3 linked regions of the Lepisosteus oculatus genome follow. The protein of the gene in region 2 purifies or fractionates together with the protein of the main gene of each other region. This does not show direct contact. Links are inferred from orthologs where the notes say so. Each region holds a gene or a part of one and is shown on either strand. Other genes may lie near its edges.

Region 1 (7,757 bases), on a different chromosome or scaffold from region 2:
TGCGGGTGCGGGCGTAGAGGAAGGCGGACAGGTCGGACGCCATCACCCACCACACGGCCGCCGTCACCATGGCGTGGCCGGAGGGGCTGCCTGGAGATGGGGGGGGAGAGAGAGTCCTGACGAGTCAGCCCTGAGGGGCATCCCGGTACCCACAGAGCCCACATAAAACCTACTAGACTCTGACTGGGCCCCCGTACGGCCTGTTCTATACCCCTGCCCACTGTGGTATCGATTACAACAGCAACCACACGGCCCCAACTCCCCCTGATCAGCCAGAGCATCCATGTGTGAATAATGAATGCAGCTATAGGTGCACCAAACACTTTTTTCTGTCAATTCACGATGCTTTATTGGTATGACCAATTAGTAAATCAGTGTTGCCAAAGTTAAACAAATACAATTAACATACAAAACCTACAGACGTTTACAGTAGAGACACATCATAAGGTATTGACGTATAAATATATGAACATTATTGAGAGACAAGCTCACTGTTCCACATGCTGTTACTGGAGGTCACATACTGGCCGGCTAGTTCCCTCCTCCCTCTCCCAGTAGGACTGGGAGTTGTTGTGATCTTGAAGTAGTAACTGTAGTGAAGTATTATACCTTGATTATCTGGATATTTGCCTTCATCAGTAGCTGTAATGGTTGTTTTTGGGCAGTCTTCTTCTTCCTGAGCTATGTGGATGCACTGGGTCTAGGTGAACAGCAGCTGTCAGCCGTCAGTCCTGAGTTAGGATTCCTGACGTACTCGCGTTTTCATTGAAAAAGGAGGCAGCGAACTGCCCTCCACTCACCTGGTCCTGTCTCGCACGTGGAGGGGAACTGCCTGACCTGCGGCTGGTTTGTGCGAAACAGCTGGGATTCTCCTATCCACCAGAAGGGCCTCTCGCCGAACAGCACCCTGGGGACAGAGAACAGTGCATCCCAGTCCATCAATTCCGTACCACCCAGTACAGCACTCACCTGCACCCTGACCTCGCTTCTGAAACAAGGTCATGCCCCATTGTCACGTCATGTCATTTGCCAAACTGCTTTTTACCCTACGGTGTTGCGGGAAGCCGGAGCCTCGAGAGCAAGGCAGGGTACACCCTGGACAGGACGCCAGTCCATCGCAGGGCCAGTGCAAGCCCATCATACAGGGGGACAATTTGGAGGCCATGGTAAAGGCTGAGGGGGGAAATTCAGCCCGGACACCGGGATAACTCCCTACTCTTCTCGAGAAATGTCCGGGGATCTTTAATGACCACTGAGAGTCAGGACCTCGGTTTAACATCTCATCCGAAAGACGGCACCCACTACAGTATAGTGTCCCCACCACTATACTGGGGCATTAGGACCCACACAGACCGCAGGGTGGGCACCTCCTGCTGGTCCCACTAACCTCTTCCAGCAGAAACCATAGCTTCCCAGGAGTCTCCCATCCAGGTGCTGACCAGGCTCAACCCTGCTGAGCTCCAGTGGGTAGTATTGGGTATAATAAATAAGTAGAGCCAGAAGGATTCATGGGGACTGGCGAATCAGCATTTCTTAACATGTAGATTTATACAGAAGATGGGCAAAGGTTTAGATCTGAATCTTTTTTTCCCATGTGTTTTTTTCCCATGCTTGTCCCAGCTGGGACAGCTAAATAGAAATAAAAATGTGAGTGCATGTCTTCCAGAAAAGCAGTAGCACATCAGATGCACAGTGCTGTTCAACCCTTCCTTGCTGTGTGGTCAACTCTCTGTCCTAATCAATGATGCCTCTCCTGTTTCTACACAGTAATCCCTTAATTGCACTCATTTACGATGCACATGCCTGCTACTGTGTATGATGTATGCATATCGGCCTAAATATTAAGAAACTCCATTAAATATTATGTTAAGGCCTCAGCGAGCACAGGAACAGCTTGAACAGCAGATGGCCTGTATAAATACTGTTTGTAATATCTGCTGCCCAGTCCCAACCCATACCTTTAGAAAGGATAGCCTGCAATTGAAGTTGTGGTAACAGTGTGTGGGACTAAACCGTGTGGCCCTCTGGGTTTCAACAGGATTGAGGTCCGAGCTGGGGTTTGTTCTGGCCAAGGAAAGCCATGATGTCTTTGACCTCAGATTCTATTTATTTTGACTTGGGGGGGGCAGCACTAACATCTTGGCCAGCGAGTACATAGAAAACTGCATGTTTAACGGGGTTCAGCGCGGGGCTCCCCAGCTGCAGAAGTGACGTCAGCCCGCTCTGCCGTCTTCAGAACAGGCATGTTGACCGCTGTTTTAAGTACTGGCGCGCAGGGATCATACGCATTCCACCAATCTGCTGGAGCAATTACAGGGTTAATTTAAGCACCAAATGCAGGGTAGCACTCGGAAGCATGCGAAAGGGGTATATAAGAAGCAAGGAAAAAACTGGGATTTTCAGATGCCTTGGAATCTAGGGTTTATAGAAACACTTCTGCAAAATGCGGTCATTTAAAGCAGAGGCCAGTGCACGAAACTGGACAGCACACAAAATAGTTTTTAGCTGAGGCGCTTGTGGCGTACGGAAACTGGCTGAGAGGTACAGTAGCGATTGCACCACCTGAGCGCCACCAGAGTTGCAACACTATCTCTTGCCACTGAGGGGACGGACGTCAGCTAGTAGCAGCAACACGCTGAGCTGGTCTGAGGTCCCAGAGTCCGCAACAAACTTCCCTTTCGCAGCAACAGCAAAGGTAGTTTGGCGTCATCGTCCAAAACCCGTGACAGACACAAAGCGGAGAATGTCGTGCACAATAATACCAGTTACTGACGCTTTTCCTATACATTAGCAGCTTATTTACAGATGTCCTGCGGTAAACGCATGCGGGAAGCTCCTAAGGTCTGTCCCCAAAACCCGGACTGTTCATGTAACCAGTTTCTCGCTTACCACTTGAAAATGAGATTCAGCCACTCCGAAATGATAGCGGCCCAGATGACGGCCACTCCGGTCCTCCGGCTGAGGTAGACGGTGGCGGGGAAACAGAGCAGGAAGGCGGCTTTGGGGCTGCCCAGGTGAGTGATGGACAGCCAGAGTTTCTCATGGTCCATCAGCCGGTTCTGAAGCGCCTCGGCGATCCGGACGCCCTGGGCGTGAATCGCATCCATCTTCAGACGAGCTGGTTCGACGAGGACGGACCGTCGCCACAACTTATAGGAGTTACAAACGTTTCAAAGTTAAAAGAACGGCAGATAATGACTACGGGCTATATGCACTGACTGTAGTGACCTTAATTGCAACAACTAGGAGGACCGCTGCACTGGATATTCTTTAATTTTAAATACTTAATGGGCCAGTGATGCCGGGATGAAGCGCAGACGCAGGTATCCGAGAGATGCTGCTACAGGCGGAAAACTTGGCGCGGTCATTAGCTCTGGGCTGGCTCCTGGTGCTTAATTTTTTTTGACAGCATCATCGGGCTCGATCATTTCCTGACTGCCGACAACCGGGAGAGGAAAGGGACAAACTTCAGTCCCGGACTCGTTTGTTATTTGGTGACCTCTTCAGAGAGATGGTCTGGCACGCACTGCCTTTGTTGGGGGAGAAAGTAACTTAAAAAAAAAACAAAACAACAACAACAACAACGTAGCCCATTACAGTAACAGGTTACATGTGTAAGGGACTGCTTTTGTAAATCGAAAAGAAGTCGGCAAACGTTGAAGAGGTAAAGTATTACTTCATACCAAGTATAACATTGTATATGTTAATACTTTGGCTATTATCTCGTAACTAGTTATGCAGTGACCCTATACAGATGACTTTTAAAATTAGTTTGCCCCAGTTTTTTTTTTTAAACTAGGAACTTTATCGAACTGTCTGCTACAACCCCTTATGTTTTGGGGGTCCTATACAACGGCGGTTATATTCTCATGGGATGCAAAGCGGATTTGAATGCCTACTGTGTTGTGATGGCACTACTAGAACACAGTGCGCAGGGATGCTATATACGACTGGGTTCTGGGGTCAGAGGTCAGGAGAGAGTTTCTGGGGTCGGAGGTCAGGAGAGAAAGTTGGAGAGTGTGTCATACATTAATAATAATGATAATTAATAATTGCTTACACTTATATAGCGCTTTTCTGGACACTCCACTCAAAGCGCTTTACAGGCAATGGGGATCCCCTCCACCACCACCAATGTACAGCATCCACCTAGATGATGCATTAACTTTATTAAAGCCAGTTAAACGTCTATACGCCTCCGGATGATCATTTCTACGCATAACACTATACCTACAAGCTGTGAACACATATAGGGCTCTTAACGTAGAATGTTCTCCCAAACGACGTCTTGAGATTGCTTAGATATTATATAAACGAGTTTCAGAAATCAATTTATGAACTCCCGCGTCCCGATAAGGTGACGAAACTTCATGCTTTTACTATCACGTTTACCAAGTATTATCCGCCTAATACAGAATAAAAATGAATGTAATGTATACTATATATACGATTATGTACTTTATCAAGCTAGTATTAGTATTAGTCCAAGGAGGTTTCTATTCCTTTATTAAAGATTCGTTTGAAACAATGGGGCTCAATATAAACATACTCACAGTACAGAAATGTTCTTTCAGAATCACAAAAACAAGACGTGAATAATATGAGAATTAAGCGGTTATTTTCAGAAGTCTCTGCCAGAATTTGAAAAAGAACACACGATTACGTCAGAACGCGCCTCTCACGTCCCAGTCGAATACGGTGACGCCATTACGTAGGCTTACGTAAGGCTGGCGCTCCGGTTTCCTGGCGGAGAAGATGGCGGCTCCAGGACCGGGGGAGTACTTCAGCGTCGGCAGTCAGGTCGCTTGCCTCACCTGCTTGGGACAGCGCCTGCAAGGAGAGGTCTTGGCTTTCGACTACCAGTCCAAGATGCTGACTTTGAGTATCCTTTTGCGGTGTTTGGGGCGGCGGCGGCGGCCGCTCGCTGGTCTCTCCTGCTGGCGGAGGGGCCTGAGGGGTAACCGGCCGCTCTTGCCAGATAGTGCTCCGCGCAGGCGTAGTAACGAAGGCAGCCACCGTGGGGGCCCGACCGTGTCCCCAAACTAGATCGGGGTTCACCTGCTTAGAGTGGGCCCGCACCCGGCCCCAGCTGCCCCCGGTAAAGCCAGCGGAGCGCGGCTGGGCTCCGGGTCCGAGCGTTGTAGCCAGGAACCCAGTCCTTGGTAGGGAGCACTATTTGGCAGCTCCAGAAGGGGCATCATGGCTGTTTTTTTTTTCCTTCTTTATATCATTCTTTGAAATAATACGAATCAATTGACCAAAAAAACGGCTAGGGGCGCGGAAACGTGGTCGGTAGCACTAAGGCTTAGTGGCCATTTCTGCCAGCGGGGTGTTGTGTGAGGCGGCGGCGGTGGCGGGGGGGGGAGGGTGAGTTTGTCCACGTTTTTCTCCTCTGCGATCTGTGTGCCTCTCGCCGCCTGTGCACCTACCACGGGGCGAGACGTGAGCGCAGCGCGATCGCTCGCCGGCCGTCTCGGGTGCTCTTTCCGACGGCGCCTCGATCCGTTCGTGGTGGAGTGGGGGGGCGCGGAGACAGGCCGGCTCTGGAGAGGGGGTGCCTGTGTTGTGGTTCCCCCTCCCGGGCCTGCACGTCGGCTCATGGCGAGTTACACCTCCGAGCCCCGATCGTCTCCGGCCACGATTCCGCGGTTTACTCCTCTCGTCGCGCCTCAGACGCGATATCCCAGCGTGGTGGTTGGCGTTAGCGCCGCGACCCGTGGGTTTAACCGGGGGAGAAAAAAAAAATCTCAGCCACAGCCAGGCGTGCTGGGTGCTATGTTGTTCAGTGTGTAATTGAAATCCCTCCTTGAAATTGACTATGGCCGGTTCGTTGATCACAAGCGGATGATAGCGAGCGGTAGCCATGTCCGCTACCCGGTGCAAATGCCGGGCAGTTATTTTTGCGGTGTGTCGATGGCACGTCTTGTTAATTCGCTGGTTTATGAAAATGCTGTAGCCCAGCCTATTGCAACCCGGTCGGCAAGCTGTTGTTAACAGCAGGCGTTACTACTCGACTGGATATCTAGAAAATGCACAATAGTATGTACGAGTTCTACATTTCATTTTTTACCTACATTGTAGATCCTGGTCTATTACATTTTTCTGTGCCTCTTTTAATGAGATGCTTTTTTTTTTAGTTTATTACAAAACATATTCCCAGGTGGGTACATAGCTGTTGGTTTCAGTGATAGTGATTGCTTTATGTTGAGAATCAGCTGGCAGTATACATGCAGGCAGAGGTAGATCTTTCCTGTGCGCATTATATATCCCTCAGGGCAGGGACTGACACTGGTCTGTGTTCTGTCTCTGTGGACTGCAGGGATATCTGAATGAAGATTTTCCTGAGGATGTCTGACAGTGTCTGGGCAGTAGGTAGTTGTGCTCTGGCAAGAACACAGAGAGGCCACCCAGGTATGATTGAGGCTGGGCGGAGCTGATGGTGTTGGCCGATGTTGACCCTCGTCACCTGCGGTTCCTCTTGCCTGGAAGTCTGTATTTTTCAACCTTGTCGTAATGTCATTCTTGTTGTCCTTGTAGGTTTCCAGCAGGCCCGATCATTGTGAGACCTGCAGAATGTGCTGGAATACAATCAAATCAGGCATTTAGAAAGCAATTTAAAATCTGTTAAATCGTTTCATTTTCTACAGAAAGTGAAACCATTACTTAGTTAGCCTGGAGCTCTTGTTTGTTTTTTATATCTGCTTTGGGGAAAAAAAACAATGCTAGTAATTTCACCAGCACTACTTGATCTTTCACATTAAGACAGGACCATTCAAATTAATGAGTTCAGACTTCAGCAGGTTTGCAGACTGCTGGACAAATTGTAAATTCAAGGGAATTTTATTTTTAATAATAGTTCCTTACCCTTGCTTAGTACTTCTCTGGACACTGCACTTTACAGGTAATGGTAACTCCCCTCCACCACCAGTGTGCAGCCCCACCTGGATGATGCGCCAGTCCACTCACCACAGTGGGGAGAACACTGGTGAAGCCAAATCAGAGATTAGGAGGCCATGATTGGTAAGGGTTAATGGGAAATTTGGCCAGGAGTAACACAGCTACTGTGCCTTTTTACAGTATAGTGTCCCCCTCACTATACTGGGGCATTAGGAACCACACAGACCGCAGAGTGAGCGCTCCCTAATGGTCCCACTAACAGCTCTTCCGGCAGCAGCCTTAGTTTTTCCCAGGAGTCTCCCATCCAGTTACTGGCCAGGCTCACACCTGCTGAGCTTTGCTGGATTGTCAGTTGTGAGTTGCAGGGTGATAGAGCAGCTGGCCATATTAGGTAGCAGGCAGTTACATGAAAGTTGCACAAACTATTTAGCAGGACATGAGGAAACTGCTATAATTCTGTTGTATTAGTGCGACTTGGTTAAAGTCTAGTGTGAATTATAGGAAATCAGGTTTAGTGAGGAATTGAAACCTTGTTTCTGTTTTTACTGTTAATGTTTTAAGCAAGCTAGTCCTGTACAGCATAGTCATAGATTTGCGTAACTGATCATAGTTAAAGATCTGAATTAGCACGTGTTCTGAGGTGGACTTGATTACTTTGTTACTCGGTTACAAACTTTGCCATTGTTTTATCAGGCTATAAACTTTTATGCTGGGTTGAGATATTGAGCTGCCCTTGTACATGCGTCGTTTGACATACTGATAGTCAGAGGGGCGCATTAAAATTGTTCAAGTGTAGTTGTGAATTTTCCATTTCTCTTTTTCATTACTTAGCCTTTTATGATGACATCGCAAACCTGTTA
Region 2 (7,805 bases):
AGAATAGATAATGTATTTATGGTCCATTCATTAGACTTCATGGCTATTAAACTATTATGACGTGACAGCTTTAAAAACAATGCATCACCAAGAAAATGCTTCTAATGCATAGTCAAGTGCTCCTTTAAAGTCATTTTTAAAAACCCTACTGTTAGCTCCAGCTTTAGAAACTGAGCTTCTCCCCACTCCAATGGACTGGTTGGCTAAATTAAAACATCCCAATTTAGCGTCTTAGAGACGAAATTCCAACACCAATAAAAATAAAAATGACCTTGAAGTGCCTTTGGAAATTTGATCATTGTGAGAAGTGAGAAACATAAAAACTGTGATGTATGGGGATACAGTACCACTGAAATAACCCCTCCAACATTATTCTGAAGTTCAGTAAAAGAAGTTAACATGGAAGTACAGGGCTTAATCTTATTTTAACTATAGTATATTAACATTACTCAAGGACAAACTGAAAACCAGTCATTAGTGACGTCCTTTGATTTTTTTCATTAGGCGTTTGCCCAGAAGCATGCCACCCAGTAAAATAAAATCGAAATCAAGTTCACTACAAATAGTGCATAAACCAGGCATTATCTTGATCAATCCGATTCCCTAAGCACACAAACCAGGTGAAAGTTGTCAGCTGCTCTCCACAGCCTCCCCAAGAACCTGTAAGGATAAGCAAGGCTCTCCATTTCAGCAATGAACACAAGTTCGCCCACTCAATAAGCCCCAGCAGGTACACCCACGTACCCCAACTCGGCGCCCTGGGTTTTTTTCCTGGAGGCAAAGCTCAAAACCGGGCCACTGACACAGTATATTAACACTACACCTTTAAAAGCATTCATGTCAAAGCACTCAAATGCAGGGCTTCAGCTGCGCCCTTTTATCAGCTCAGTAAAGGTATTTGTTGACTCAATAGGTTAATAGTTCCTGATCTAAACTACTTGATGAAAACATCACCGTGTCTACTCCTTGACCGGGAATTCAAACCAGACCTTACTGCAGAGAGCTTCATTAGTCATTTTTCCAGACACGATTCAAAACGCCACTTGTGAGCAATAACGCAACCCCAACATTATTCCTCCGCACAAGAGAAGGTCACAACAGAAGCCGCTGCCGAAAACCCTTTTTTTCTAAAAAAAAATCAGCTTTCACTGAAATCGGCCGGAATAGCGCTCGCAACAGGATCTCCACCTTCCTTTAAAAAAAAAATGGTCTGCCTCTCCATTCACGAGTGTAATTTGTTCAATCCACCCCACCTCCCTCACACAGCGATACACACTTGTTAATGCATCGTGTAGAGAAGAAGGTAACACTGCACAGACAAAACGAGGCGGAAAACGGCATGAAAGGTTACCAGCCAGAGCAGGCCCATGCAGCAAGACGCTTCAAGGTACCCCTTGCCCTCCTCCACGAAACCTGCAGCACAGGTCAGTCTCCCCACCCACCACCCAGCAGATTCAGGGCAAAGCCGCTAGAAAACACTGCACCCCGTTCAAACACTGACGGCGGCGTCAGAGGGGAAGCCCGGATCGCAGCCGGGATGTGGCCCACGAGTGGATTTAAAATGGGGGGGTGGGCAACTCTGCAAGGCCGCTCCGGCTGCACGGATGCGCCCCGGCCCGGGTCTGGCGGCTCCCCCCGAAGGCATCGCTGGCTACACTGGGGGCAGAGTTAACAGCTCTTAGCTGGGGTGGGGAAAGGCCTGTACGGCTACCGGGCTGCCGCAGAGGTACAGGGCTGGGCGCGGAGCAGGGCCCCTCGCTTCAAACGTGAAGCTCTCACGCCGGTGTGCGCAACGCAACAGCGCCTGACGCCTCGGCCAAGGCAAAGCGCACCGACTGCACGGCCGTGCCGGTTCTCGTCCTCACACACACACACACACCAGATGCTGAAGGTCCGGTTGCGACCGACGCCGCGGCTCCGCAGAAGCCGCCCCGGGCACGCAGCCTCTTGCAACCCGCCACACAGCGGGCACACGCCGGCCCTCGCCCGCTACCCCACCGCGGGCAGGGACCGGTCCAGCCTACGGGCTCACGTCCCGCCCGCAGACACACCTCCGTGAAAGGCAGGCGAGGCGTGCAGGTTCGGGCCGGGCCCGACCACGGCAAACGCGCAGCGAAATCGCCAGCCGGCGTGGGGCACGGCTCCCACCGAGGAGGCATTTCAATAACGCTGACCAGCGACAAAAAAAAAAAAAAGCCGAAGGCTGCGTGCTGCTGCAGGAGGCCCGGAAAGGTGCGCTAGGCCCGAGCATTCACATTTATTTCAACAGACATTCACGTCTTCGCACCCCCCAAACCTCAAAACCCCCCCGGGCAACCCACGTTAACGCGGCTCCCGGGACACGGCCGGCGGGGTGTCAAGGGATCTGAAAGCACCGACCTGCCCAGGCTCTGCCGTCCGCCGGTTCCCCCGCTTCCCCCGGCACCAGAGGCCGCAGCGGGGCCGCCGCCGGGTTTTCGGTTACCTCCGGCCTGCTTCATGGACATGACGATGATCCCATAAAAAAAAAAACAACGTACTTAACGGTATATCGGCTAATGTCTGGTAAAGGATACAACCTAAAAAAAAAAAGAGACAACTAAAATAACGATGACACTACCGACGACTAATTTTCGCAATTAAAAAATACAGACTATTTCTTCTTTAAAAGACAGTACGTCGATGATCCTCAGCTAATGAAAGCGTTATTCCTGTCCCGTTGTGTTGTATTTTAGCGACAACAGACAGGATTTTCGGCTTCTTCGGCGTCTCTCTCCGTTGCTATCAGCGAAGGGACCAAAACAGTCTGAGAGAAGACAAAAAACAGCGGAGGGATATATCCAGGGCGCAATGCTGCGTACATCCACCAAATTCCCCTTCCAGCCGCCTAACAGCTCTCCTGGGGGCCAGATTAGCGCAGCCTGCCTGGGGTTTTCAGTGAACCCGATCGGGGGAAGAGGGGTTTTGAGCTGGGGGTCGGTTTAAACGCCGGGGCCGGCGTTGCGGGCCGGCGCACTATTTACAGGAAGTCGGAGGACTACCGAGGTCCTGTGGCCGTGGTGCGCCCGCTCCCCCCCCCCTCACCACCACCACCACGTGAGCCGGCGCGAGGCTCGGCAGCGGGACTCGCGGGTAGGGTCCGCGCGCGCCTGTGTGCGCTGTAGCTGCAAAGACAGCTCACTAATGACACGGCTCTCTAACCGGTTTGCATAAAATTAGCAACACTTTATATCATTTTTCGTTTCACGAATTGGCAGCGTCCACTGATCCCTCTCCCCCGGTTTAATTTTATTTTTATTGTTTTGCGTGTGCAGACTAAAGCCGGATATCCTCGGTCTTTACTGACCGTATGACCCGCTTTCATTTGTTACCTGTCAGTGACATCCCCAATTAGAATAACGTCTCCAGGGCTGGGGCTGGATGTGCATATTTATTGCAAGGTAGAGCTTGACTTGCGTAGTCATCTCTCATTCATGTCACTTTAAATTATAATTCCTTGCTTGCATATAGTACTTCTCATCCCTGTGGATTATCCCGGAGCGCTTCCCACACAACAGGAACCAGTTCCTTCTCCTCTGAATCGCATCAGTTCAGGGGGAGGAATGAGAAACCGCATCACCAGTTCCATTAAGGGAGACTGCAGGGAGACCAGACTGTACGAGAGACCGGTGTGCTTCAATTCAGGATACTGGCACTAACACCCTTAAAGTTTTTGAAAAATTCGAGGCAAAAATGAGAATTTTGTTATGCCCAAGCAGTCTGGACCTCTGCGATGGACCGGCATCCCACCCAGGGTGTCCCGAGCTTTCTGGGAGAGACTCGGGCTCCCCCATGACCTTGCAGTGGATAAAGCAGTGGGGAAACGGGTGGTCAGGACCTGAGCTAAATGTCTCGTTCGGAGGTCAGCACCTCCTCCGTCCCAGTGCTCCCTGAAGCCACACTGAAGGTTTGGTTTGGAAACAGTGGACCCGAGGGTAGGGCGCCCCCTAGAGGTTCTGGGTCACGCCGATACCCTAGCGTTCACCTCCAGGCAGGGTGGGAGTCTTCACAGGCCGCTGGGGCTGAGGAGGTCTCCCGCTGGAAGACGGGACCCCGGAGAGCGAGTCTGACCGAGGGCCACACGAGCGCGTTCGGCCCAGACCTCCAGGCGGGCTGGAGCCTCTATTCACATCAAGAGCTCAGTGAAGCCGCACGGGGCAGCTAGAGACACTCAAGGAGTGAGTCAAGACATCAGCATGTCGCATGTGGCTTATTGACGGTGCCGTTTTGACAAGAGCCAACTCGTACTTTCTAATACAGCAACGTGGGCAAAAACAGATGGGGCGTTAACAGTGGCCCGCCCCTTCTTGGCGAGTGTTGCCGGGATACAGAAGCTGTGAGAGCCAGAGGTGGGCTAGTGTTTGGTCCAGCTGGGTTAAGAGTTTAACCCTCATTTGAAGAAGCAGCAAATAACATTTCAAAAAGCACTTAGGGACAGTTTGTATCTGGGCAGACACATTTAATGCAGATGGGGGCAGGGTCTCACAAGCAGGTGGTAGAAGAAATGAAAATACACCTAACGGGAAAGGCGAGGGTAGAAGAGGGTACTTATACAAAGGGCTTAAGGGCTGATTGGATGAATCAATCCAAGGATCTCATTCAGCCTTTTCTTGCAGATGAGATGCTTGTACTGAGGCCGGGGGGGCAGCCTCTCCTCATTTCCATACCTTTCTTACTGGTGTAAAATCAGAGAGGGGGGTGTACCGTAGCCGTCTTCACATCACACAACCACACATTCCTTTGTCGACTTGTTCGGGGACTGTAATGTGCCACACTACACTGCATTTAAAATAAAAATAGCCAGACAGGTTAAAACGACACACCACACTCTTGAAAAGTTTATTTCCACACTTCCCCCAAAAAAACCAGGGAACAGCTGTTCACAATGTGTGCTCTGTTACACCCGTCGTGTGAAGGCCACCAGGTTGATGCCTTAGTACAATCTGCACCATGTCAGTGTCCTCAGTAATTAGGAACGCTGTGCGCTGCGACACGTACAAACGGATTTTGCCCCCTTCCTCCCTGTACACACACACACACACATATCGGTCATTTTTAAGTTTAAACACACACACTTTGGAGCTTCTTAACACCAGCGGTTCCCAGCCTCGGTCCTGGGGGTTGTTCTTTCATCCTCGTCGTCAGTTACATGATTGGATTTGTAATGGACTTCATCACACAGGATTAATCTGAACTGTGTGGCTGTTGTCAGATGTTACCCTGTGGGAGGTAGCCTTTTAACTACTGCATTTCCTAACTCAAATCAAATTCCAAACTCTTGAGTCTAGAGAGCACCGCAAACATTCCAATCAAGCACCTTATTTAATTCAATTAAGCCTTCAATTAAGTAATTAAATGCAGCTGGAATGAAAACCAGGTGTGTGGGCCTCTAGGACCAGGATTGGGAACCTTTGCTTTGTATCTTAGGGTTGCAGATTTCCAAGCATCTGGCTTGGGCCCACAGTACTCAGGCTAACTAACAGCTAAATGCAGACTGACTGCTATCAATTACCGCCTACAGTAGAATGTTGTATTTTTTTACACTGCATACAAGACTGTAAATTGTATATTGTTTTCTATACTGTGTGTTGTATCTTACTGTATACTGGAAGATACTCTCTTTTGCCAGCAGCCATATCACCCTGCAACTCACAACTGGCAACCCACTGAAGCTAAGCAGGTGTGAGCCTGGTCAGTACCTGGATGGGAGACCTCCTGGGAAAAACTAAGGTTGCTGCTGGAAGGGGTGTTAGTGGGGCCAGCAGGGGGCGCTCACCCTGTGGTCCATGTGGGTCCTAATGCCCCAGTATAGTGATGGGGACACTATACTGTAAACAGGCGCCGTCCTTCGGATGAGACGTAAAACCGAGGTCCTGACTCTCTGTGGTCATTAAAAATCCCAGGGCTCTTCTCGTAAAGAGTAGGGGTGTAACCCCGGTGTCCTGGCCAAATTTCCAATTGGCCCTTACTAATCATGGCCTCCTAATAATCCCCCTCTATGAATTGGCTTCATTACTCTGCTCTCCTCCCCACAGATAGCTGATGTGTGGTGAGCGTTCTGGCGCACTATGGCTGCCGTCGCATCATCCAGGTGGATGCTGCACATTGGTGGTGGTGGAGGGGAGTCCCCATTACCTGTAAAGCGCTTTGAGTGGAGTGTCCAGAAAAGCGCTATATAAGTGTAAGCAATTATTAATTATTATTATTATTATTATTTTGTAGTACTGGCTTAAATAGAAACAGTATTGTTCTCTTTACCCGTCTGTACGCTGAGAGTACAGGCGTGAATAAGAATTCAAATGTACTCGTTATAAAGGGCGAATTAGCTCTACACTCGGACCCCACCTCCAGTCCAGCCCAGGGAGGACGAGGAGGGCCAGACGGGCTCCTCGCTCCTGCCTCCTCCCCAGCGCCCGGCCGGGGAGCTGGTGCTGCGCAGCGGCGCGGAGGTGCTCTGACCTGGCGGGGCGCTGGTAAGAAAGCTAGCCCCAACCCCAGCGATGGCGGAGGGGTGCTCTGCTGGCCCCTCTGCTCTGCTTTGAGCTGGGGCTCAGGTTTCCAGTGCCGGGGGTGTCCACGCTGCCTGGGAGCCCCCCGGCACACCCCTCATCCCCACCACCCGAACTCGAAAGCAAAACCCCATCTGAACTAAGAGAGCCTGTATAAACACCATGGCAGGGAACCTGAGAAACAAAACTGAGAAAATGTAAGGGAATATTAGAAAGAAAGAAAAAAAGGTCTTAATAACTCTTGCCTTTTGATTTCTTTAGACCAGAAAGTGACTCGGATGACCCAGGGAAGGTGGCCATTGTAAGCAGGAGATGTAGGTAAACAGGATCTAGTCATATTTGGGAAATAAATGTGGACTCCTGCAGAATATAGTATGTAAAACACAGCAATGCCCCAGAGAGGCCACCCCCACTGTTGAGAAAATCAAGACAAACGTGCTTTTCACAAGACAGCGCAGAGAGAGCAGTACTCTTTCAACAGGTTTGAACTATATAACTGAAATGAGTACGGCCCAAAAAATACCCGACGCTATACATTCCGTCATTTCGGAAATACATTTTCAAGAGGGAGCGTAACGCTGGGCGGGGAGTGGTTTTTTTTTGCAGGTGTAGGCCGTCATTCCTTGACCGGGGAGAAGGGAAATCTACGTCGCGCTCTGATGAAGACCTGTGGCGAACGTCCTCGCGCTGCCACGCGTGACCCGGGTTCGGCCGGACAGCCGTACGGGTCGGGCACCAGATCCTACGCTCCACTTGAGAGCGGTTCTGAACAAACACGGGCCGCCCTAGTACCTAGACAAGGATGTCAAGTAAATACAATGCAGGAGCCTTCCGTTATTCATGCTTCTCTTTGTATGAGATGAGGAACCCAATCTGTGGCCAAAAGAGGAATATCCCGTCCTGCTAGCCCAAGGGTAAAAACCCTTTTGCAAAGTGCTCACTTCGGGATGGTCAAAAAAACAACATGCAACAAGCCTTTCCAAATTTCAATCTGCAGCCGTGACAAGTATAATACAACTGCAGCACAATGTTACAGTGGTGCCGAAACACACACATGGCACTGGAAAGGATGACAGAAACAACAGGAGGAGTGAGTCTATAATGCAAATTGCACATTCCAGTTGAATAATTTTGGGGTAAAAATGAAACGTCATCTAATGTACAGGTGCTATTGGTAACAACTGTGAGTATATTAAAGAGGTGCCACTGACAGCAGAAGAGCCAACAAAAAGTTCCAAACTAACTCCTAAGCATACATTTTCTACATAATCTGTGACA
Region 3 (7,236 bases), on a different chromosome or scaffold from region 2:
CGTCAGGAGCTCAGCATTGCGCACGCACTCGAGACAAAACAGTCACGCCTGTGACAGCGCAGGAAGAAGCAAAGCCATGTGCTGGAAAAGAGGAGCGTGGAAGGATGAGGCCCCTCTGGTACAGTTTTAAAAAACTGCCGTGCGTGAAATCAGACAAAGCCACAATAAAGGCTTGTTCAAAAATTGCACACTTGGGGTTTTGCTTTGTGGAGTCCACGAACAAAGTCTCTATTGTGCCCTGCTCGCATTGTGTATGTGTCGGGCTAGCAGTCGAACAGCAGGCCTCTGGATGAGACATGCTCCAAATGTGGAAAAAGGAGGAGCAGTGCACCACAACACCAAACATTTCACTGTGCATCTTTCCATGAGAAATCTAAAGGCAGCGGAACAGCAAGTCATTAGAGGACCCAGAATGGGCACAGTCAGGGACAGGACCCAGAACGGGCATAGACAGGGACAGGACCCAGAACGGGCATAGACAGGGACAGGACCCAGAACGGGCACAGTCAGGGACAGCCGAGAGAAGTAGCTGCCTGAAACTGGCCAGCGGTGCAAGCCCAGCAGCACTGCTTGTCCTGAGTGCTCAGAAATGGAGATGGCGAAAGAACAATTTGTCAGGTGCCTTCTGATGCTTTGCTTGTTTCTCATAAAAGTGCAAAACCAATCAGCCTTTCTGCGCTTGGTAATCTGGGAGCCCGAATGGAGATGAAGAATAAGGTCTCCATGTAGCTGGTCTGCAGCCGCTCAGCCTGGGGCAGAGGGAAGACAGGAGAGACAGAAATCGACAGGGCTGATGGGAAGGGCAAGGTGAAGACGCACCTGCTGTAGTCTGAGACTCTTCATACCTCAGATGTCCTTTCAGCTCTTTGTTTCGTTATTATCCACTTTTGTTCTGTGTTTAGCTGAAAAGGTCGCAAAAGTGGTGGACGATGGGAAAAGCAGGGTACAGTTTAGTAAAGCACTGAGAGTTGTGAGAATACATAATTCCCAGCTGTGGAAACCAAAATACTTGGTAAAACTAGGGGACAATATGCAAGTACTATACAAATTTACATTTCCCATGGTATTGTGCACACTCTTGGTTACCATGTGATAGAAAGATCCTGCTGCAATCAGTCCAAACAAGAGCAACCAGATACATCCTGGGGCTGAAGGGAGTGTCCCTCCCTGACAGACGGAAGGAACTGAACCCTTTCAGTCCTGAACAGACAGGAGTATGACGGGACCTTAACACACATACTCAAAATCCGCAAAAGGACAAAGTCGGCCCTGTGTATTTCTTCAGAACGAACAGTGAAACACAAACCAGGGCTCACAAGTGGAAACTACAGGGAAGCGCATTTAAAACCAAGATCCGGAGGCACTTCTTCAGCCGCAGGACAGCGAGAGAGTGGAATCTGTCCAGCCGTGTTGTTGAAACGATCCCCCGACTGTCTGGATCAATCAGCTGCTAGCTGCTAAACAGGCTGGAATGGTCTTGGAATGGCCTTTTCTCGTCTGTAACTGTTTTTATGTTCTGTAGTAAACGTTCTCAAAGCCGTGAAGCTGAACCTAGTGTCGGGGAAGCCTGGGCATGATCGCTCCAGGGGGACAAAGCCTGCTCTGCACGAGTCTTCACTCTCCCGAACTGCTGGGGCGCAGAACCCACAAGTAATGATGACAGGTGGACTTGCACCTGGCTGTGGAGGTACAGTATGTGTTTGTGTCTGTGGGCTTAAACTCCAGAGGAAGCTCCCCAACAGTCAGCCTGCAATGCTCCCTAAAACCCCTTCAGCTGCTTTGCCATTTTTATACCCTCTACTTAGTTCCTCGCACTTTGTTTATACTTCACCGCACATCTCAAGTAAATTCACTGCGCCCTGCCGTTTAGCATGCAGGAGAAGCAAAAACGTACTGATCGAAGATCTAATCAATTATTGTTACCAGAATCCTTTCAGACCATGCCGTTGTGTTTAGACACGACAGACCCCATAAGCTCTCTATATGCAATGGTGTTTTTTTTTATTGCTCCTCCTTCACCGTGTTAATACTGTACACAACGCATGTGAGCTGGGCGAGAGCATCAGGCTTCCTGCGTCTTTTCACCGCAGTACGAAAAACGCGCACGGGGGAGAGGGAGCGCTGCTCTGCTTCTGCCCAAGTTGACACACTGCAGGTGGGGGGATTTAAAGAGTCACAGCCATGCCGACACACACAAACGCACCAACACGAAGTATATACTGTGCTTACCGTCTGCGGGCTGCTGAAAGTTCACATAGGCGTAACCCAGAGAGCGGCGGGTGATCATGTCGCGGCAGACCCGAATGGACAGAACCGGGCCGGCGGGGCTGAATTTTTCGTAGAGCATCGCCTCAGTGATATCGGGGTGCAAGTCGCCGACATAAAGAGAAGCCATCGGGTAACTCCCTGCTGTCGCAGTGTTCATTGTTCGGATTTGAATAGCGGACGGCTGAGATGTTTCGGTGGATTTATGTACGTGTGTGTGTGTGTTGTAATGTTCAGTAAGCACAACAGCTGCGCTCCCCGAACTGCACAGTTTAATTTAGTCGAGGTCAATGGATCCACCGCTAATGTGAAATTATTTTGTCAGTATTTGTAGACAAAAAGCCTGGATGCTGTAAAAGTTTCAATAAAAAATCTTAGCTGAAGAAAGGAAAAATAGAGTCCCAAAATAACCTCAATCTGGGATACTGAGTCCTTTTAAACAGTGCAGTGTCTTGCTAAGAATATTGTTTCTTCTTACTGATAATTGTAATGGAAATTCTCGTCTTTAAAACTTCAGGCAATCCAAGCCCGAGGCCTTCTGTAAATATCAAGAATTAAAATAAAACAAAAAAAGTATTATTTTGCGTTTTTTTTTAATTTTCCTTTTTTTCCGCCTTGTCTTGAAGTTCCGGTATTTTTTTCACAGGTTTTGTGTATTTTGTGTTTTTTTATTTTTTTGTGTTTTTTCTTGAAGTTGTGAAAGAGCAGTGAGTGCTCACACTCGCTCTGTTTTGTGGCCAGGGAAAGAGACTGCGTGCGGAACGCGTGGGGACTTTATAGCGCGAGAGAGGAGAGGAAATAGCTGCCAGGGTCAAACTTGGGATAAAAAAAGCACCGACTGACAGCGGAAAAGGAAGAGCATGTTAGCCTGTCAGAACTACCCAGCTGAGCCCGCTATAGCGACATCTGTGTGCTGTGAATCAAGCTGGGAATCCGGGAAAATACCAACGCCCGTTTCCCTACTCAGTCTGATATTAAACCAGGCAGCTCCAGTGCTCCATCCCGATTTTTTTTTTTTAATTGAAGGCGGTAGCCTGCGAGAAAAAAAAAGTAATTTAACACGTTTTCCCTTACTGGGTTGAAAACAATGCTAATGCACGGGCAAGAAAACTCATAATATCTTTTCCCTTCTGTCTCTACATTCATTCTGCCATTTCAGTAAAAAAAAAATCTCTCTTTTCTTTTTCAGTACAATCGGTATATTAATTATTACTCCGACGTTCCTAGCCTCGCTGTGCATCCTTTTACAGTATGTGATTAAAACTTCCATGTTGTAATAAAACTCACAGAAACGTCCTGATCTGAGAGATTAAGTATATTTGAATATACATGTCGATGTGCTCTTATGGCTCCCAGTTATGAACAGGCGAAACAGAGATTGAATGAAAGAAAAGGGTGGCGAAGACGGGGCTAGTGCACTGGTATTTCTTTTGTGTCCAAAATCTGTGTCCATATTCCTTCTTTAGGTGTCTCTGTTCCACTAGATACTCTTCTGTTGTACAGCCTGGACTGGCCGTTGTAAATGAGTAAGCTGTTGCCCAGGTGGCTTATCTTCAAATCCCATCTGGGCTTCAGGAATCTAGAAAAAAACAAGAAAGAAGGATTGGTATCAACACCTCATGATCATACTTGACCACATGGCAGATCTGTGTCCGGAGATTCCCCTGTATTGCCAGGCCGTGCTGCAATAACATCTCTTTTTTTTTTTGTATGACAAACGAATGTTTTTTTCAATAACATCTCAGTTTAGTCTCAGTGCGATGTCTGTCACAGAGGCGATGCACAGATCTCACGAAGCAGGTGGGCTCACTGTGCTCAATCACTGCGTGTCCGAGCCTCGAGTGGTGACACTACAAGCTGAAAGGAGGAATATGGAGGAACGTGTTTTGCAGTGCAGTCAGGAATAGCACGTTTCCCAGTGGCCAGTCTTCACGAGACAGCAAGCCGGAGGTGCCGCGCGTCAGACTGAACCTGTACCGAGCAGGACGCTTGCAGACGTTGGGAGAATGTGGTCAATCCTCATTCCTTCATTTCGCCCTGGGGGCACCGGGCCCGGCCCTGGTTTGTGAAGCTGCAGAGCACACTGGCGCCCGCCGTGGGCCGCCGTGGCGGATGGCAGGCTGCGGGGGCCTCAGTTTTGGGCCCAGACGGGTGTCACCCTGGCGCCGCCCACTAGAGTGCTTCCCGCCAGTCACAGGGTCACAGGGTGACGGTACTCTGGGCCCCACCACCCCAGCCAGGAGCCGTGCTGTAGCGAGGGAGGGATCTTACTCTGGCAGATGGTGCCTTTAATCCAGTCCCGGTACTTCTCCACTCGGGTGTACACCCCGGGCTTGCCTGCCACCCCACAGCCATCTCCCCAGCTGGTCACGCCCATCAGGTACCACTTGTCCTGCGACTCGCACATCAGGGGCCCGCCGCTGTCGCCCTGGTGCGGGAGGAGCACAGCACAGAGCAGGGGGTTAGTGTCTTCTAGGGGGCCCGAGTTCATACGCCCTGCCCCCGGGGCCCTACTCCTGGCCAGCAGCACACACACTCTGCAGGTGAAACGGGAGAGAGATCAGCCCTGTGGTATGCACCTCATTCGCAATTAAAGCTCTGTACCAGAGAGCTTCAATAGATAAATCGTCATGGGGGGCTGTGGATTCTAGGCTCATTTCCCGTGAGGCAGTCTGTGCAACAGCTCTGTGCACATTCTGCGTTACCTGACAGGTGTCGACGCCACCTTCCTCGAGACCTGCACAGAGCATGGTGTCAGCAATGGAGCTGTTGCTGTAGAAGGACCTGCAGGCCTCAGTGGTGATCAGAGGGAGCTCTGCTTGCTGAAGGAAACTCGGCGATTTTCCTGGAAAGGGAAATAAAACAGCAAGAGGTTTTAATGCTATAAGCTGAATTGCTAAGCAGGGAGCTCAAACGCTCTGACGATTAAGCAGCCCGAGGTACAGCTGAAGCTTGTTGCATGACTTCATGGCTTACCTGAAGCCAATTTCCCCCAGCCTGAGATCCAGCATTTCTGTCCCCAAAACTCCTTCTCTTTTGCCTTGTTTGGGAGGCAGATAGGCCACTTTGAGTCTAAAACAACAAAAACTAAGTGTCAAAATGCTTTGGAGGGATAGGAGGAAGGACAAATGAAAATACAAAAAATACCATGTCAAAATGCCCTGTACACATAAAAAACAACACACGATCTTACGGTTTGTGTATACAAACCCGCAATGTGGTGTTTGTGATTTCTACATTTCAGACTGGAATTAACCTTTACTTCTTCCTTCTCCTAAGCCCAAGACAACCTGACAGTTTTTTACTATGTAGTTTGGCGGCAATTAACTTTTCTTAAATGCTCACCATCGTACGTGATGGGCCTGTCCAGTTTCAGCAGAGCTATGTCGTTTTCTTGATCTCCCTGATCGTATTCCGAGTGCATCAGGATCTTCTCCACGCCATAGTACTCCGCGGAGCGTGTTTCTTTCTGCCTCAGTATCCCAGCGTACACCTTCAGGTCTGACGCCTTGGAGCTGCAGGAGTGTACCAGAACAGTGAGGGTCAGCACGTGTGGGCAGCACCCCTGACTAGCTTCATGCAACGTCTCGAAAAGTTCCGCTTCTCGAAGTTCAAGTAGGTAGCTGCGTCAGCATGTGTAGGCTGCAGAGAAACAGGTGAAGGTTTATTCCCTGCTGAAAGGAAAAGAAAAGAGACACAACGTTTCAGCTGTGGAGCCTTCATCAGGTCTCTTTTCCTTTCAGCGTGAGTCAAATTTGCATTTTATAAACGTTTTTTTCGAAAGTCAAGTTACAGTAAATATAATCGTAGCAGAACCGTAATGTGAATGCTAACGTTATGATTCTCGGGTTTATTCTACAGTATTTTGCCTACAGTTTTGCCTCAGCTGCCCTGTCTCACAATCACTGCTGAGATAAATTTTAAAAAATGCTATAAATTCCACACATAAGCCTTTCCTCCTCTGCATTCATCCTCTGTACCCCTCCTCCACCCCCCCCGTGCCCCTGAGCAGCTGCCCCCTGGTTCCCTCCTCGCCCTACAGCCGAGCAGCTTGAGCCAGATCCGTCTGGGACTGCACTGCGGGCCGGTGTGTCTGCTGCGGGCCGTCCGGCGTGCCGCGGGCTCACTCTACGAGGCAGTGCGCCGCGGTGACGACCCAGCGCCGTCTCAGGATGCTGCCCCCGCAGCTGTGCGAGGAGTCCTCGTGCAGGGACACCTGCCACGGCCACTTGTTCCTCTCCGCCCTCGTCCCGCCCAGGATCCGCGCCTGCGTGTCGTCCACCTCCCCGCAGTCTGAGAGCAAGGACAAGAGCCGGCGGCCTCTGTGAGCTTGAAATCCCGCCTTCGTCGCCAACACCTGGGCCTGGCACCGGCTCGTGTGTGAGAACATGGCCACAGACCATATTGCTCTGAACCTTGTGTTCACCATTATTGCCCCTAAGGGCATCAGGAGCTCATAAACATGTTACACATACGACCATAATACAACACAGCAACAGTACAATACCATAATATATCACATAAAACAACATTCAGCAACATCGCTCAGTCAGAACTCTTCAGGTACCACATGATTAAAAAACAGACAGTTAACTCTTGAAGAGTCTGAAAACAATAACAAGAAGAAGATCCCTAACTACAGACATTTTTTTCCACTGTTCTAACAATTGAATGCTTTTAGGTATAAAGGAAGTAAATGCTCTCCTAGTCTTTCTACAGGGGATCAGGAGAGTATATTCTCAAAAGAGGGGTCATCGAAGATTTTCTGTGCAAGATTAATAATAATTAATCTGTCCAATTAATAATTGGACTTATTGAGCCCAAGGATGCTCTGGTAATCTTGCCACCAGTCCTGATCACTTTGTTTAACTTATTGTTGTTCTGCTAGGACAAGGCACCTCCCCAGCGCTGAATACAAAAAGCTAGAATGCTCTGAATAAAACTCTGATAAAAAAAGGTATGCATTATAAT

Evidence for each region. The genes of interacting proteins can lie anywhere in the genome.
Region 1: the proteins of atxn2 (region 2) and lsm12b purify together in Homo sapiens (affinity purification with mass spectrometry; 4 studies listed by BioGRID and IntAct, with this or other methods). This does not show direct contact. The link is inferred for Lepisosteus oculatus from reciprocal best matches to the Homo sapiens genes ATXN2 and LSM12.
Region 3: the proteins of atxn2 (region 2) and pabpc4 purify together in Homo sapiens (affinity purification with mass spectrometry; 4 studies listed by BioGRID and IntAct, with this or other methods). This does not show direct contact. The link is inferred for Lepisosteus oculatus from reciprocal best matches to the Homo sapiens genes ATXN2 and PABPC4.

The regions. Positions count from the first base shown.
Region 1 is NC_090723.1:7,309,931-7,317,687, reverse strand, and holds the start of lsm12b (protein LSM12 homolog A), read left to right. Parts: upstream 1-4,755; coding exon 4,756-4,882; intron 4,883-7,757. Other genes in the region: g6pc3 (glucose-6-phosphatase 3), read right to left, coding at 1-90, 801-907, 2,890-3,107. UniProt on the Homo sapiens protein: Nicotinic acid adenine dinucleotide phosphate (NAADP) binding protein. Confers NAADP sensitivity to the two pore channel complex (TPCs) by acting as TPC accessory protein necessary for NAADP-evoked Ca(2+) release.
Region 2 is NC_090717.1:12,985,551-12,993,355, forward strand, and holds the start of atxn2 (ataxin-2), read right to left. Parts: upstream 3,020-7,805; 5' UTR 2,487-3,019; coding exon 2,380-2,486; intron 1-2,379. UniProt on the Homo sapiens protein: Involved in EGFR trafficking, acting as negative regulator of endocytic EGFR internalization at the plasma membrane.
Region 3 is NC_090706.1:2,444,531-2,451,766, reverse strand, and holds the start of pabpc4 (polyadenylate-binding protein 4), read right to left. Parts: upstream 3,003-7,236; 5' UTR 2,426-3,002; coding exon 2,230-2,425; intron 1-2,229. Other genes in the region: coagulation factor XI-like, read right to left, coding at 3,837-3,844, 4,537-4,693, 4,971-5,110, 5,242-5,337, 5,611-5,780, 6,393-6,558.